4 linked regions of the Saccharomyces cerevisiae S288C genome follow. The protein of the gene in region 4 purifies or fractionates together with the protein of the main gene of each other region. This does not show direct contact. Each region holds a gene or a part of one and is shown on either strand. Other genes may lie near its edges.

Region 1 (3,126 bases), on a different chromosome or scaffold from region 4:
GATGAGAAAGCAAGCGGAGATGTGCACACACTCGTTTCTGGGACCCCGGATCTCTCAAATTTTAACCTCGATAATGAACCACTGGAAAACATACTCGCTGTTTTCATAATATCTTTTATTATTGTAGTGGTTGGAGTTTTACTACTTGGGTTGATTGGCATGATATTCATATCTCTCCGTTCAGGCAGCAGTAATGATAAGAAACTACAGTCCAACGATGAAGAAAAGCAAGCACTTGCTGAAAAAGCATGAAATAAAAATAGATATAATAGATGGCACCGCTCTTCACGCCCGAAAGTTGGACATTTTAAATTTTAATTCTCATGATAGTAACGATCGTGCACATTCAATTAATTATCGCATACCAAACATTTTTTTTCCTTTTTCAATTCAACTAATCTCAATTTTTTAATTTTCCTTTTTTTATTTCCTTTTTTTTTATTCTCATCATACCATTTTCATTCGTTGTTGATATCTCTATTGTTTTTTTTGGCAAAATATAGTCTACATATAATATTTAATAATCTAATCTGATAGCGTTAATTTCCATACCGCCTCCTTTTATATCCGTTGGCACTCGACGGTTTCCGTATGCCGTCGGAATGCATCCGCTTCTTGGACTCCTTGATCGTGGTTTGCAGTATATCTACACTGTAAAATATAGAAGTTTTTGGAATGGTGTTACTCCATTGTGATAATATCTTTGGGGGTTCTAGCTTCTTTGGGTTATTCAACCTAGGAAATGGATTGCTCTCGCACGTCTCATCTCTGGATCTTGAAGTTTGCTTGAAGGAATGGTGTGCAGATTTTTCATTGGCTCTTTGGGGTAATTTGCTGGCTTTAACCAAATCTCCTATATCAAACCTGTTAGCATCCACAAATACTTTGGAATATCCTGGTGAGCCATCGTATAACAATTTCAAGGTATCTATTGAGGTTTGTGCCAGTTCTTTTTGGTTCATTTTCTTCACATGCATGATGTGTCTTTTCTCCTTATTTGAAAGGCATGTAACTTTTAGCGTCTCATTTTGACTACTGTTTTCTCTTTCTTTCCTGCCTCTTTTTCCAATGTGGCGTCTTTTATGATTATGTTTATTAATAATGTCTCTTGCTTTGTTCCTATAATAGTCAGCTGTTATACGAAGGTGATTCTTACCGACCAAGTGCGATTTACGAACGCTCAACGTGTCATGGGTCAAATACGAATGACAGTATTCACAATAGTATCTCGTCATTGCCTATCTCTTTCCTCTCCGTTACTTGAGCACCTTCATCGCCTACACTAGGAGCTCATATTATATCTTCAGTATAGCAAGAATATTTTCTGTTATCCTTAACGCTTACCCGCCTATGTACCTTGACACTTGCGGAAATCTAGTGTTCAATGATAAGGTACTGTGTGGAACATATGAAAGTGAAAAGAGTTTGAACCGTTTATTATCTCTATACAAGTGTCTCTATTCACATATAAAAGAGTGAAAATAAAAATAACTTTTAAGATTTTATTACCTACATGAGATTAGAAAAATCATAACTATATTACTCAGCGGCTGTGCCTGTTGTTGATCAAAAGAAAAGATCCGCCCCTTCGAACGTCTTAGTGCCGCCTTTTGCCCGCTTATCAATTTTCTCTGAGGGAACATAACGGCATTTATCTATTCGACTTCCAAATCTACATACACGTATATAGATACATATATATATGTGTGTGTGCGCCTGTGTGTACTAGCACTTCTCAATATTATAATTCTTCCGTAAAGTTCGATCGTGACTTCCTGTTGCACAGTTATCTTAAATAATAGAATAAAAAGCTAACGCAGATTCAAGTGGGGCGTTGTCAGGCACACAAAAAGACAAGACAAAAAGTAGCGTACTAGACTTACAGTTATGCTGTTGTGTAATAGAAAAGTCCCCAAGACTTTAAATACCTGTTTTATACTGCATATATTCACTCTGTTAACACTGGGTGTGTTAGTGTCCGGAATGCCGTCAAAAATGGTATCATTCGCCTCTCAGGAGACTTTGCAGAGAATAAATAATCTCCTTCGAGGGTCTGCCAATCGAGATGTTGACATTATTGCAGAATATTTGAAAAAAGACGACGATGATGATGGCGGCGATAAGGATCACCATAACATCGATATTGACCCTTTACCTCGCCGTCCTAGTTTAACGCCTGATAGGCAACTTCTAAAAGTCGGTTTGCATGGTGCTATAAGTTCAGATTTAGAAGTCTGTAGTAATTTGACTATAAATGAGGTACTCCTGAAATTTCCCGGTTCTAACGCTGCAGACGCTGCAGTAACACAAGCTCTTTGTAAGGGTATGGTGAATTTTTTTAATAGTGGGATTGGAGGTGGTGGCTACGTAGTTTTTTCTGGCAAAGACGATGAAGATCATCTATCCATTGATTTTAGAGAAAAAGCACCCATGGATTCACATAAGTTCATGTTCGAAAACTGCTCTCTATGCTCAAAAATAGGGGGTCTTGCTGTCGGTGTTCCAGGTGAATTGATGGGTCTCTATCGCCTCTTTAAAGAAAGAGGTAGCGGCCAAGTTGATTGGCGTGATCTAATTGAACCAGTCGCAAAGCTGGGAAGCGTGGGTTGGCAAATAGGCGAAGCACTCGGTGCCACTTTAGAACTTTATGAGGATGTTTTCCTGACATTGAAGGAAGATTGGTCGTTTGTATTGAATTCTACCCATGACGGTGTTTTGAAAGAAGGCGATTGGATCAAGAGGCCGGCACTATCTAACATGCTAATGGAACTGGCTAAAAATGGTTCCGTGGCCCCATTTTATGACCCCGATCACTGGATTGCAAAATCCATGATTGATACTGTCGCAAAATACAATGGAATAATGAACTTGCAGGATGTTTCATCGTATGATGTTCATGTTACTAAACCACTGTCCATGAAAATTAGGAAGGGCGCCAATTTCATCCCTGATAACGATATGACCGTATTAACAAGTAGCGGCTCAAGTTCCGGGGCTGCACTACTTGCGGCGTTAAGGATAATGGATAATTTCCAGAATCAAGAAGGGGGCGATTATGAAAAAGAAACTACCTATCATTTGCTTGAAAGCATGAAATGGATGGCAAGCGCAAGAAGCAGGTTAGGC
Region 2 (4,380 bases), on a different chromosome or scaffold from region 4:
CTAATTACAAGGGTCGATAGGAGACAAGCGAATGGAAACTGCATAGATGGGTATAATTAGGAAGCCTAATGAAAAGTCAATAAAAATAGGAAACGAGGTGGAAGCCAGCTAGAGATGAACAGAATACACAATAAGTCGTTAAAGGAATGAATAATATTTTCACAAATATTTTGGTCGGTTGGAACGAGCCGAAGTCAGATGCTTTTAGTTCTTCTAAGAGAGAGCTTATTACTTCTGGAAAAAAAGAAAAAAATGGTAAAAAACAGGTAAGATTATTTTAGCAATATTATGGGGTCCCTTGGTGAGGTCGAATAGTTTTGGTAATCTATTATAAATGTAAAAATGCAGGAAATAAAGAACTTGGTACTATGGAAATGTATAAAAGTTATATATATCAGCACGAAGATGAGATAGTAAAAAAACACCCACTGGTGCTATTTTGATCTGGCAACGCCCGACGTGTCTAGCCACTTGCTGCAAAACGCCCCGAAACGGTAATTTGTTTTCGTGTCTTCGCCTGTTTCAGAGCGAGCCTTTCCCTTTTGGGACGCGCGCCAAGGCCCTTCTGTTTCAGGTCCCCAAGCGAAATTCTTTACGACTCCACAGTCTATCAGCTATCGTTTCCCCGTCCTCGTCGAAAGTCTCCCTTAGCTCATTTAAAAGGGCCTGTTTGCTCTGGTTCACGCGGATGTTCTCAAGAATGTATTCCACCAGCTCGTCCTCGTAGACGCCGAGGAATTCACGCACCAGTTCGTCCACGTAGCGCGATTCCTTCAGATTAGTTAGTCTTATGTTCAGTTCATCTGCTGTAAATGGCAAACGGTCCTCTGCCGCGCTTCTCTCGGAGGGTTTTGTTGGAGGTAGCTCGCTCTCTCTGTATCCCTCGTCTTCGCTAGAGCTTTCAACTGAGTGATCAATAGCCTTCTTAAAGTCGAATTTGATCTTGACGTGTTCTGAGCTCTCAGACACATTCTTGTCCGCGTTATAGTTCTCGCTCTTCACAGTGCCTTCAGGAAGGGTGATGGCGGCAGCCTTCCCTGCAGATATGGCCTTACCATCCGATAGTTGTATAGGCGCCAGTTCCTTTGCATTTCCATTTTTAGCTCTATCCTCTTCGTCCCTTCTTTCCTCTTGCTCCTTGAAAGATCTATGGTGGTCGTAATGAACGTCGTTGGCAAGGTGTAATAGCTCCTTCAAATATAATGAGCGATTTTTCTCCAAATGTTCCTCATAGTTTTCAGCACTCATGATATCAGCCCTAATGGATTTTATCTTAGGCTCTGTATTGGAATGTAATTGGTGTAACATATCCTCATATCTACGATTTGATTCTTCCAGGTCTCTTTCTTCTTTTCTCTTCTCTAAGGCAAGGTCGTCTTCAGTGTCATCCTCCTCATCTTCATCTTCCATATTAGTATCCTCCTCCTCTGTATTGGCGCTCCCTTTGGCTCCTGAGTGGTTTTTCCTTATTTGATCAAAAACTTTTTGCATTTGGTGTCTTTGACGCCTACTTTCCTCGTACGTACTTTTCATTTTTTTTTCTTTCTCTATACTGACAACTTTTGTCCTAAATTCTATTATATCCTTGCACAATTGGTCCAAAGCATCCGATGGCAAATCACTTAAAGTGTTTGTATCCACTTTGTATTGTGTGGAAGAGTCATCCAACTGTTCTTTCTTTGAATTTCTTTCGTCTGTTTGATCTTCAATGTTTTTGAAAACAGAATAAAATTCGCTAGCCTTTTCTGGCTTAACACTCGGTATAGTTCCTGTTCGGTCTTCGACATATTCTTTTGTGTTCAAATCCAAGTGTAACTCAATCTTGAAATCCTCATGTAGCTTTCTAATAAACGCGAATAAGGCTTTGCAGTAGTTCAGCGTATTAACAAATGCCTCATCTTCATCAACCTTACTGAATCTTATAAAAATGTCCTGGGTATCTAAAAACGAAGAAAAAGAAGACCAAGCTTCTACTTTCAATGCGGAATTGCTTTGAGTTTCAGTCAACGCTAAATTCAAACAGTGGTCTAGCAATGATTCTATCTGTCCGCGAGAAAATGATGAAGAGACACCTTGTAAAGATACTGTATGAATCTGTTGGTCTAAGGAAATGGGAAGAAATTGTTTGAGCTCTTGGTAACGGGAAGAGCTTGTGGCGCACTTGTTAGCACTATTGTTATCTGCTATTGAAGCCTCTTTGTCTTTATTCAAACCAGTATTCTGGTCAGAATTGTGTATACTCCCATCATCGTTGCTATTTAGCAGTGTCTCTGATAAGCTGTTTCTGGCGTCAACTATATGTTTTAATGAGTCCTGAAAACGTTGTAGATCATTTTTGAGGATAGGGATGAACCCACTTTTGGCAGAATCACTTTTCCAACCCTCCTGTGATGACAAATACAGCTGCGGTGATACAAATACAATATCCCTCATGTTCTGTAAATCGACGTACTCTTAAGGAACTTTTATGAGCTTGATTTTGGTCCTGGTCTGTTTTTGTTCTTGATCTATCTAATTACTTTTGCACTTTTTAGCGGGCATCATTACCACGGAAAGTAGCAAAAAATGTAGCAGCGAAAACTGCTTTTTTATATTTGTTCCTACAATTTAATAGAAGATAACTCAGTACTGATTTATACATCTATGTTAGATATTTATTACTTCTTCTAATGACACGTCGTGATCGATTTCTTTAGCTTCTTTCCAGAATTTACTTAGGTGTCTTGAACCGCTGTCGCATGCAATAATCACAATGTTTGAGCCGTGAGGAAGCGTTTTTGCAACCTGAATAGCGGCTACCGCATTAATAGCTGTACTACTCCCCACGAATAGCCCGTCGTTTACCGATAGGTATTTTGCCATTCTAATGGCTTGATTATCGTTGACTCGTATTGATTCATCAATAAACTTTTCGCCCATATGAAAATTATGAGTGATTCTGTTTAACCCAATCCCTTCTACGATAGTGTCAACTTGATGCCTTCTTCTAGTACCTTCCTTCTCTACATAGTCATACATCACGCCATAGTTGACTCTATTATAAAAGCCAGATCCTTGTGGATCCGCTAGAACGACATGGCAAGGTATCTTTGCTCTTTCCTTTAAGAATTTTGCCACACCAGTTATGGTGCCACCAGTACCGCAGCCAGCAATGAATGCGTCAATATTTCCCTTAGTTTGATGGGCAATTTCTGGGCCTGTGGTCTGGTAATGTACTTTCCAGTTGGCTTCGTTTTCGAACTGATCGGCAAAAACTGCTCTTATTCCATTACCACTCTTCTTTAGTTCATTACATGCCTTTTTGGCGGCATTTACGTATTGGTTTGGATCGACAATACTAGCGGGCTTAACCTTATTAACAGTAGCACCGAGGCTTTCTAGTAATGCCAATTTTTCTAGCGATGTGTCATCGGGCAAAGAAATGTGTGCCCTATAACCCAACGCATTACAGACCACTGCTATAGAGATACCAGTCGACCCACTTGTTCCTTCAAATACCCAGCCAGGTTCACCTCTGACGAGCTCGCCTAATTCCTCAGCCGTCTTTATGATGTTTAAAGCCACTCTATCCTTAGCACTTCCTGCTGGGTTGCATAACTCCAACTTAGCGTAAATGTTAACTCCAGTAGCCTTGGTAAGAGATCTGATCTTAACCAGAGGAGTGTTTCCTATGAGTTCTTCAACGCCTTCTTTTGGACGTGGAATATCGCGTGTTTTGAACAGCTTATAGTATTTGTATGATGCATACGCGCCAATTAGGACGGAAGCGATGGATATGCATTCACGCCAGGCCAGACTGACAGAAGTCTTATTTTGAGAACAGGACATAAAGGATGTTTTGGTATATTCCGATTGATAGGGCTATTATGCAGTATTATACGGCATTGTTACTTCAAATATTACAAGACTTTTAAGTTACTATAGACGTGCAAAATTCAATATAGATCATTACCCGCATTAATAGTAACGCGAGTAGATCAAGTATCTTCGGATTCTGTATTTTATAAGCTAATTTTGCTGATTTACGTATACGATTCACTGGAATGTTTGTCTGAAAGGTTTTCCTTATGAAACTTACCGCTGGTGTGGTTATATTATAATTATTAAGTGTTAAAATAAATGTTTGACATTGTTCACATGATTGTTGCTCTGCTGTAAACATTTTAAATCGTGCATCCAGGAACTTTTTTTCTATGCACCTTGAAGAGGAAAGTGGTAAATTTGAACTGCTGCAGTATCAGAGTTGTAATAAACTCACTCTTTGCTATCCAAGACCTGCTTGACCGGTTCACTTTGATTAATGTATAGATTATACTCTTGGATGTAACGGATGACAGAGTTTGGAAGAAGATATTGAACTGACATTCCACGTCTGATGAA
Region 3 (3,975 bases), on a different chromosome or scaffold from region 4:
CGCATATTTTTTTTTAATTCACCAAAAATATTTAATGTTTAGAAGTTGTTTTACATATTTGGACGTTTTCAAAATATCCTGACGATAGAAACAATCATTAATAGTCTTTACATATAAACAATATTTATCAAATTTTTCTGATTATATAACCATCAAAAAACACAGAAAAGGCCTGTCATTTCGATTTACGTAAACTAAATTAATAATAAATTTATTTCATCTACCTGTTTTACTCTTCATATTATTTGATTTCTGCGATTTAATAGAATCTTACCAACCTCTAATGTTTTTTGAATATATTTTAATTTAACAGGTTCAATAGTTACTTTTTTATTATAAATAATAACTTAAAATATTACATAAACTATTATTTATATTATCATACAATAATTTATTATATAATTATTTATTAACTCTACCAATATAGAATAAAACATTTTCAATAATAAATTATAAACAAGTAAATATTTGGGTACTCCTTCGGGGTCCGGCCGAGTAAATTATTATTTTAAATATAATTTATGATTTATGATTAATTTCATTTACCTTCCTTAAGAAATTCTTCAGTGTATAGATCATTAATCTTGACCTGATTAATTTTCTCCAAGTTTCTAAAATTAGGCAAACTGATGGGCTTTTGAATCAAAGTTCCTGAATTGCACTCAATTATACTGTTGGATATCTGCGGTCTTTCTGTCGTTATGCCGATGTGACCAGCCTCCTTCCATTCCGTCTTTTTATGCCAATCTACATTTGCTGTAGTATTTAATACTGGATCGTATTTTGGATTCGACATTTTCAGCTCAGGGTACAAGATAGGGTCAAATGTATTTGAATCTATAATGGAGGATTCATACGTGACGATATTTGAATGAGTTAAATAGAAAGTCTTATAATCCGTCAAAATATCATTCATTACTGTAGTCGGCAAGTATATTTCTACCCCAAGCTCCCTAATGAATTTATTCAGCTTGGTAAAATTTACATTACTCTTTTCAAATTTGTAGTAAGTTAACCAGAACGGTACAGAATTTTTAATGAGGATGTTTTTTTGATAAAGGTTGAAATATTTCCTTGTTTGCATATTATTTTTAAGTACAAGCCATGTAGTTTTTATCAATTCTACCACGACTATGCTTAAGTTTTTATCATTTATTAAGGTCTGTAAATGCACCTTGGCATCAATTTGATTATTGATGTAGTTGGTGATTGATGTCTCTAGGATTTTAGTAAACGATGTTTGTTTCTCTAGAATTTCCTTTGGCGATTGATCTAAGGAATTCTTAAAAGAATGTCTTTTCAACATACAAAGGTACTCCGTCATAAGTAATATGTCGTTGGGCCAAATCTTTAAATAACGCGATACTGTCTCATTGAATATGTTATTGAATAAGGTATTATTTGACCGATATTTTCTTTTCAAAAACCTAAGAAAATCATACCTCAAAGTTTTGAAATCCAGTGGTAAGAACGTATTGGCTTTTTGGTATATATCCACTACCACTTCATCGGATATATTTTTCTTTGTTAGCCACTTAATATACATCATCCACGTATTTTCATGGTAAAGACAAGGAATCAAACATCTGTCAAAAACGGACATTACGAATTCTTTATCCAAGGATTTTGAAGGATCCGTCACAAATTTTAAATATCGCGACCAATTTTCCAAATCATCATTTAACACTTGGCCCAGGTTGAAGAAGGGCTGTTTGATTTTCGATTCGAACTGCCAAATTTCATTTACTGTTGTTTGTGTTTTTCGTAAAACTATATCAATATTCCTTGTTGTCTTCAAATTTTTTTCATTTAAAAACTTCTTGTAAGATGTGAAAAACCGCGCATACTGATGTAGAGGAACTTCAATAATGTACTCGTATATTCTTTGAACGTTATGCCAATTCTTCTGCCCAACTTCAAATTCTATAAACTTGTCCCAAAAAGGGTGTGATAGAAACTGCTTGCCAATAAGATCCTTTGCAATTTCAAAATTATTCCTAATAAAATCCGTTTCGTTCGGGTTATTAACACACAACACATTCAAATAATCACACCATAACTCCAGAGAAGTTGGGAACCATTTGACCGAGGTGGCCAGAACAGCAATCGATTTCTTGAGACCAAATAACTGGTACTCAATAGTAGCAAACCTCTTCCAAAATCCAAACAATAAAGGGTACTTACGCAATATTTGCCATAAAATAGTTTCCAAGGCCAATTTGATTGAATCATTTGGATTGCCATATTTAACCACTGTTTGCTCTATAACATCTACCATTTGGGTCAACGAAGAAATATCTGACCAGTCTAAACCACGATATGCTTGTACTAATGCTGTGTTGTCTTGAAGGAACTGGGTGTCCAAACCTCGAAGGGCATCAGGCCTAGGCTCAATATCTTCTATTGTAAAATTTGTTTCATCTGGCATAACGAAAGACGGATTGCCAAGTATCCAATAGCAGTAAGGGCCAAAACTTTTTGTTGAACAAAGAAATGGCTGTGGAAGGCGCGTTTTTACTTTAGGACTTTGAAAACTTTCTTGCGTAAATTCTGTTTAAGTCTGAAACTTTCAACTCTGTATTAAATTTGTTTTAAGATGTGCGACGGCGACGTAAAATGGTAAAGAAAAAGAAAATGAATGATAGTAAATCATACTGAAAACGAATGATCTGAAACAATAAAAAAAGATATTTGTATATAAATTATTCAGCCATGCTCAAACCTCCAGATTAAAAATCAATAATGGATTAATTGAAAGCCCTGGAGCTGGCATTTTTTACCACATTGTCTAAGAGGGAAAGGAAAATGACAACAAAGCGCTAAATAATGGAATCAAGTTTACAAAAATTGAAATTCCAGGATATTGACATAAATCTTATTCCTACTGCGAAGTGGACCACAAAATTACAGTATATTCTATACACCTGGTGTCAGTCGATACTACATGTGGCCATGTTTTTTTCTGATATATACACGTGTATTAAATTACTGGCATTTAACACATGGTCGAACAATATCATCCAACCATTCTTGGAATTCCGTATTTCAAAATGGTTGTTTAGCGGATGCATATTATGCTCCTCATTAATATTAATTTGGGAGTTGGTAATTGGATTGAGAGTGTATAGGAAGAAAGAGATTACATCGAACTACATGAATGGCATTAGCAGATTAATAAATTGCTTGTTCAATTTCAAAAAGTATCAAATTTTCGAACTAATAGTGCTGACTGATGAGAAAAAATTCAGTAAGTGGTTATTCTTTTCATATTTTGAAATCAGTGGATGTTTGAGGCTATTGTTCGGTGACTCTCCAAGGCAAATAATCAACGGATTAACTTTGTGGTCAGTTTTACTGACAGTTTCGAATGAGACCAGTAGCGGAACCCATAGTACTCAAAGCCTAGGTAATTTAGATGACCTAAATGGAATAATAAACAAGATAAAACATATTGCTAAGACAAATTACGAAGAAAGTGTGATCTTGTCCTTCATGTTGTTCTCGTTTATCATATGGGTAATTTTAATAAGCAAATTAATTCTAAGCATAATAATATTCATCATTTTTATACGTCCGAGATTTTTGTCTAGTAAAAGGAAGGTTAAGGGGTATGAATTGAAACTACGAAAGTATGTGTCTAAAGTCATTGACGAGAATTTAAGTAGAACTGTCTACGAATTGGGAATATTGATAGATGATGAGGAAGAAGGGACCATATGTGGTGACAACAAAACGCAAAAAAAATTCGATTATGATAGTCCTGATTATGGCGACGAAAGCACAATACCGAGTTACTACTGCTACTCGGATGTAGAAACGTACGAAAGAGTATATACGCCCATAAAGGCATATTTCCCCCAGAAATACAAACATAAATACATATAAATGTAAACGAAGCTTTTTTTGACTGCAAAAATGCATTAAAAGTAAATCGATTCTCATTTATTGTATATATATTGTATATATTGTATGAAA
Region 4 (3,755 bases):
AGAGACAAACGCATTACGTAGTCTTGGAAGATAGCGCAACGGGAAATCTTGACACAGTAAGAAACATTTACAGTATAATAATACTAAAAATAAAATTAAGATACATCAATATAAAATTTTCGACAAATACAGAAAAGAACAGAGAAGAAAAAATGAAGGTGACGCAAAAAAGGAATTGACAGGCCGTAATGAGTAGTGATGGAAAGAAGGTAAATGGAAGTAATAAAGGAAAATCATAAACATGCTTAAAAGCGTACAATCTTGAATTGAATTAAGAATAACAATAACCTTGAAAGAAATGAAAATCAAAAGGAAAAACGCAACTATAACGATACAAAAAAGACTTAATAAAAGGACATGGAATCTTGAAAACGATAAAAAGCAATGAAAAAAAGAAAATAAAGCGCTGTTATATCACCGTCAGCCTAAGACCAAATACAATTTAACACTGAAGTAAAGAAAATACCAAGAAAGAAAAAGGGCCAAAAGGAAAACAAACATTTTTATATACACGTGTGGCTCAAGCAAACATAAAACCATTACTGCCTTGTTCCAAACGGTTTAACATTGCATTAGTGCTGTTAACAACCGCTTCGCTTCCTTGCATGATAACTTGTTGGCCACCCGTGCCTGAGAGGTCCATAGAGCTAGTGTCAGCCAGTAAACTAGTAGCTTGCGTATTTGTAGCATTATTATTACTGTAGAAACTGAAATTGTTCGAGCCTAATCCATTCGCATTAGCGTATGGATTAGAATAATTCAGAATTTGACATCCAGGAAGCATCGTGGATGAAACATTATTATCTGGCAGAACAGGTGCTTCACACGTACTGGATGGAATGTATCCGTAGTTAGGTTGCTGTAAACCTGGTTGCTGTTGTTGAACCTGTAAAGAGTTACTTAACATGGCTTGCTGAAGCAACGCTGTTTGCTTAGCAGACCTGCCCCAAGACAGTCTAACTCTTGAATTTGCAATGGGGAACCCTTGCATCCCAGCAATGGCAGCCTCAGCCGATAGCCGATCAACATACTGGACAAACCCGCAACATTTGCCTACCGGAATTTTGACATAGACTATCGTGCCAAAAGGTTGGAAATAAGCACGTAATTCGTCTTCAGTCACCAGTGATGACAATCCTCCGATAAACACAGTGGTGTTATTCGGATCAGTGAAGTGGTTTAAAGACGGCTGCTGTTGGACTGGATAAATGAATTGAGACATATGGTTTCTCTTAAAGCCCATGTTATTATTTCCATTGCTTAAAAATGATTGACCCTTGGAAAGAAATCTCGAGTCTACATTTTCGTTGTTTAGTGACGAAGAACTACGGTTGTAATCGTTGTTACCGCTGACATGCTGCTGCTGACCAGATGTGGGTCCTACTTTTATGGCTCTACCATTTAAAAATACGCCTTGCATTTCTGACAGAGCTAACTGTTGTTCATCAGAATTGGTAAACTTTACAAAACCGTAGCCCTTAGACATCCCGGTAACCTGGTCGTGCACAATTTTGGCATGAGAAGTAGAAGCATATCTGTTAATGAAAAGTTCAAATAATTGAGACTCTGTAACATTTGGTGCTAAGTCTCCAACAAATATAGAACAGTTGTTACCACTCTTCACGTTGTTAAGAGAATTGTTGCTGTTTGAATATGAGGATGTAGCCCAGTTTAATTTCAATTTTTTATTTGGAAAATTGGGTATAAGCATACCATTCTTTAAAAGTGCATTTGCTGCATGAGTAGATGAGGGAAAATCAACAAAGCAATATCCTTGATTATTCTTTGGACCCATTGATGATCTCGACCCATTATTAAGCGTATTATTCCACATCATCCGGACATTAATATTCGCTTCTCCCAGAGATGCCCAAATTTGCCTAACGGTATTCTTATCCCATGTAGGATCCAAGTCGCCCATGTACAATTGGTTACCAGTGGTCCCTAAACTCACGTTAGATGCGCCTTGAAGACTCAATACGCTTGTACTGCTATTGTTGGTTTCTGAGGAAATAGTATTAGTGTACGGAGATGAGTCGTTTCTTACCAGATTACCCCTGCTAGGATAATATGTTGTTTGTTTATAGGACATTTGTACCCGCAATGTATTAGGAACTTTTGACGGGATATAGACACGAACTTAATCGACTAAGCTGATAAAATGAAGGGAAAGTAACCTAAGGGCAAAGAATATGGTTCGGTGTTTGACTACCCGAATAAGGTCACGTCGATTTAAATGTTGTCACTAAAGGAAAGCTCTGATATAAGGATGTACGCACACACAATTTCACCACCAACTCGAATCTGAATAATCCCTGAAAAGCCCTTCCCTTTGTGCCAATAGTATTTGAAAAATAAACAAACTTAGATCTACTTAAAAAAAATCCAAGATTCTGCATTTTTCGCCCTGCCTCTCCTGAGGGTAACAAAAAAAAAAGTACAATCTATCAATTATATATTGTATTCTTATGAAACGTCAATCAAAGATTTTTGCAAGCAGCGTTTTAAGCTTGTTTGCACTTTTACCACATTCACCACCTTCCTTGATAATTACTTCGATTTTCTTACGTACTATAGGCAGGAATTGTTCGATAAATACCGCTTTTCGAGTATCGATATCCTGTGTTGCCAATGACAGTAGTGTGGCATTTACTCCACTGGAGGTAGCATCCTGAACTTTCAATTCTCTGGTAAATAGTTTCAAGTGCTCAAACGGCTGCGGATAATCTGGGATTAAATATGGGTTTCGTAGCGTACCGCTGTCCTCTGTAGTCTCTGCCGTGTCTCCGTCGCTTCTAGCGCGTTCATCCTGACATCCGTATTCAACAAGAGTGTACAGAGCATTGAGATGAATAGTGACATATTTGGCGTTTCGCTTCTTCGTTTGCACTATGCTAGCGCTATCATTTTTCCCTACCTGTCCCCAACCGAGCACTCCAAAGACACCGTTCAAAAGTTTTACCCAAGATTTCCTAACCACTTCATCTCCGCAATACTTCAACAGATGAGAGAGAAATTTAGTAGAATCTGCTTGAATTTGTGTAACAATATGTGTCATTGCCATGTTAATGTATAAGACAAAAATGTTGCAGTGCAATTTTAAAATCTCCGCATCGTGACTACCTATTTCATCTACGAGATCAATAAGTCCCTGACGTACTTGCTGCGATTCATCGCAAATCAACGGTATACTTTGAGTAAGTAATGGTGTCATAAGTCGAGATTTTATTATAGACGGTATTGACTTTTGGAATGTTGTTAATGTTTCCTTTCTCACATTGATGTTATGATGCTTTAAGAGCGTTAGCCGTTTTGTTAAATCATGTGGATTTTGGTCTAAATGTTGATTTCTAATAGAAATAGTCTTGGAAACGAAAGATGTATCGGTAGCATTCCTTGCTTTTTCCTTTGGCTTACCAACTTTTAACTTTTTTCTCAAAAAATCCTGCTTTTTTTGCTTCTGCTTTCTTGATTTTGTCATTTATTAACTTTGTTTATCTCTGCACCTTTTTCTTTTTTGATTACAACTTTTAACTATTATGAACATCGATGCCTTCACCTTATAATTAGGAATCTCGCTTTTTCTGGTGGAAAAATTTTCCGATGGCCTTTGCCATTCTGAAAAATAAAAGGCAATACTACGTTGGTATCAAAATAGTGGATAAACACATATTGTAATACTAAGCGATCATGTAGTTTTGGAGGTCATGTTAAGAAACTCATTGATATTTATATTACATACTGTGACGCTAGAT

Evidence for each region.
Region 1: the proteins of NAM8 (region 4) and YHC1 purify together in Saccharomyces cerevisiae (affinity purification with mass spectrometry; 5 studies listed by BioGRID). This does not show direct contact.
Region 2: the proteins of NAM8 (region 4) and SNU71 purify together in Saccharomyces cerevisiae (affinity purification with mass spectrometry; 8 studies listed by BioGRID). This does not show direct contact.
Region 3: the proteins of NAM8 (region 4) and PRP39 purify together in Saccharomyces cerevisiae (affinity purification with mass spectrometry; 7 studies listed by BioGRID). This does not show direct contact.

What each region holds. Positions count from the first base shown.
Region 1 is NC_001144.5:724,182-727,307, forward strand, and holds YHC1 (Yhc1p), read right to left. Parts: upstream 1,236-3,126; coding exon 540-1,235; downstream 1-539. Other genes in the region: YLR297W (uncharacterized protein), read left to right, coding at 1-252; ECM38 (gamma-glutamyltransferase), read left to right, coding at 1,888-3,126. UniProt on the Saccharomyces cerevisiae protein: Component of the spliceosomal U1 snRNP, which is essential for recognition of the pre-mRNA 5' splice-site and the subsequent assembly of the spliceosome.
Region 2 is NC_001139.9:512,607-516,986, reverse strand, and holds SNU71 (Snu71p), read right to left. Parts: upstream 2,434-4,380; coding exon 571-2,433; downstream 1-570. Other genes in the region: MSB2 (Msb2p), read right to left, coding at 1-44; MCY1 (putative cysteine synthase), read right to left, coding at 2,647-3,828; nicotinamide-nucleotide adenylyltransferase NMA2, read right to left, coding at 4,255-4,380. UniProt on the Saccharomyces cerevisiae protein: Component of the U1 snRNP particle, which recognizes and binds the 5'-splice site of pre-mRNA. Together with other non-snRNP factors, U1 snRNP forms the spliceosomal commitment complex, that targets pre-mRNA to the splicing pathway.
Region 3 is NC_001145.3:179,927-183,901, reverse strand, and holds PRP39 (Prp39p), read right to left. Parts: upstream 2,429-3,975; coding exon 539-2,428; downstream 1-538. Other genes in the region: pheromone-regulated K(+) transporter PRM6, read left to right, coding at 2,827-3,885. UniProt on the Saccharomyces cerevisiae protein: Function prior to stable branch point recognition by the U1 snRNP particle to facilitate or stabilize the U1 snRNP/5'-splice site interaction. Has a direct role in the assembly or function of a catalytically active spliceosome.
Region 4 is NC_001140.6:276,490-280,244, reverse strand, and holds NAM8 (Nam8p), read right to left. Parts: upstream 2,093-3,755; coding exon 521-2,092; downstream 1-520. Other genes in the region: YHR086W-A (uncharacterized protein), read right to left, coding at 1-14; IPI1 (Ipi1p), read right to left, coding at 2,477-3,481. UniProt on the Saccharomyces cerevisiae protein: Component of the U1 small nuclear ribonucleoprotein complex (U1 snRNP) involved in the initiation of meiotic recombination. Involved in the formation of DSBs at recombination hot-spots through meiosis-specific splicing of REC107 pre-mRNA.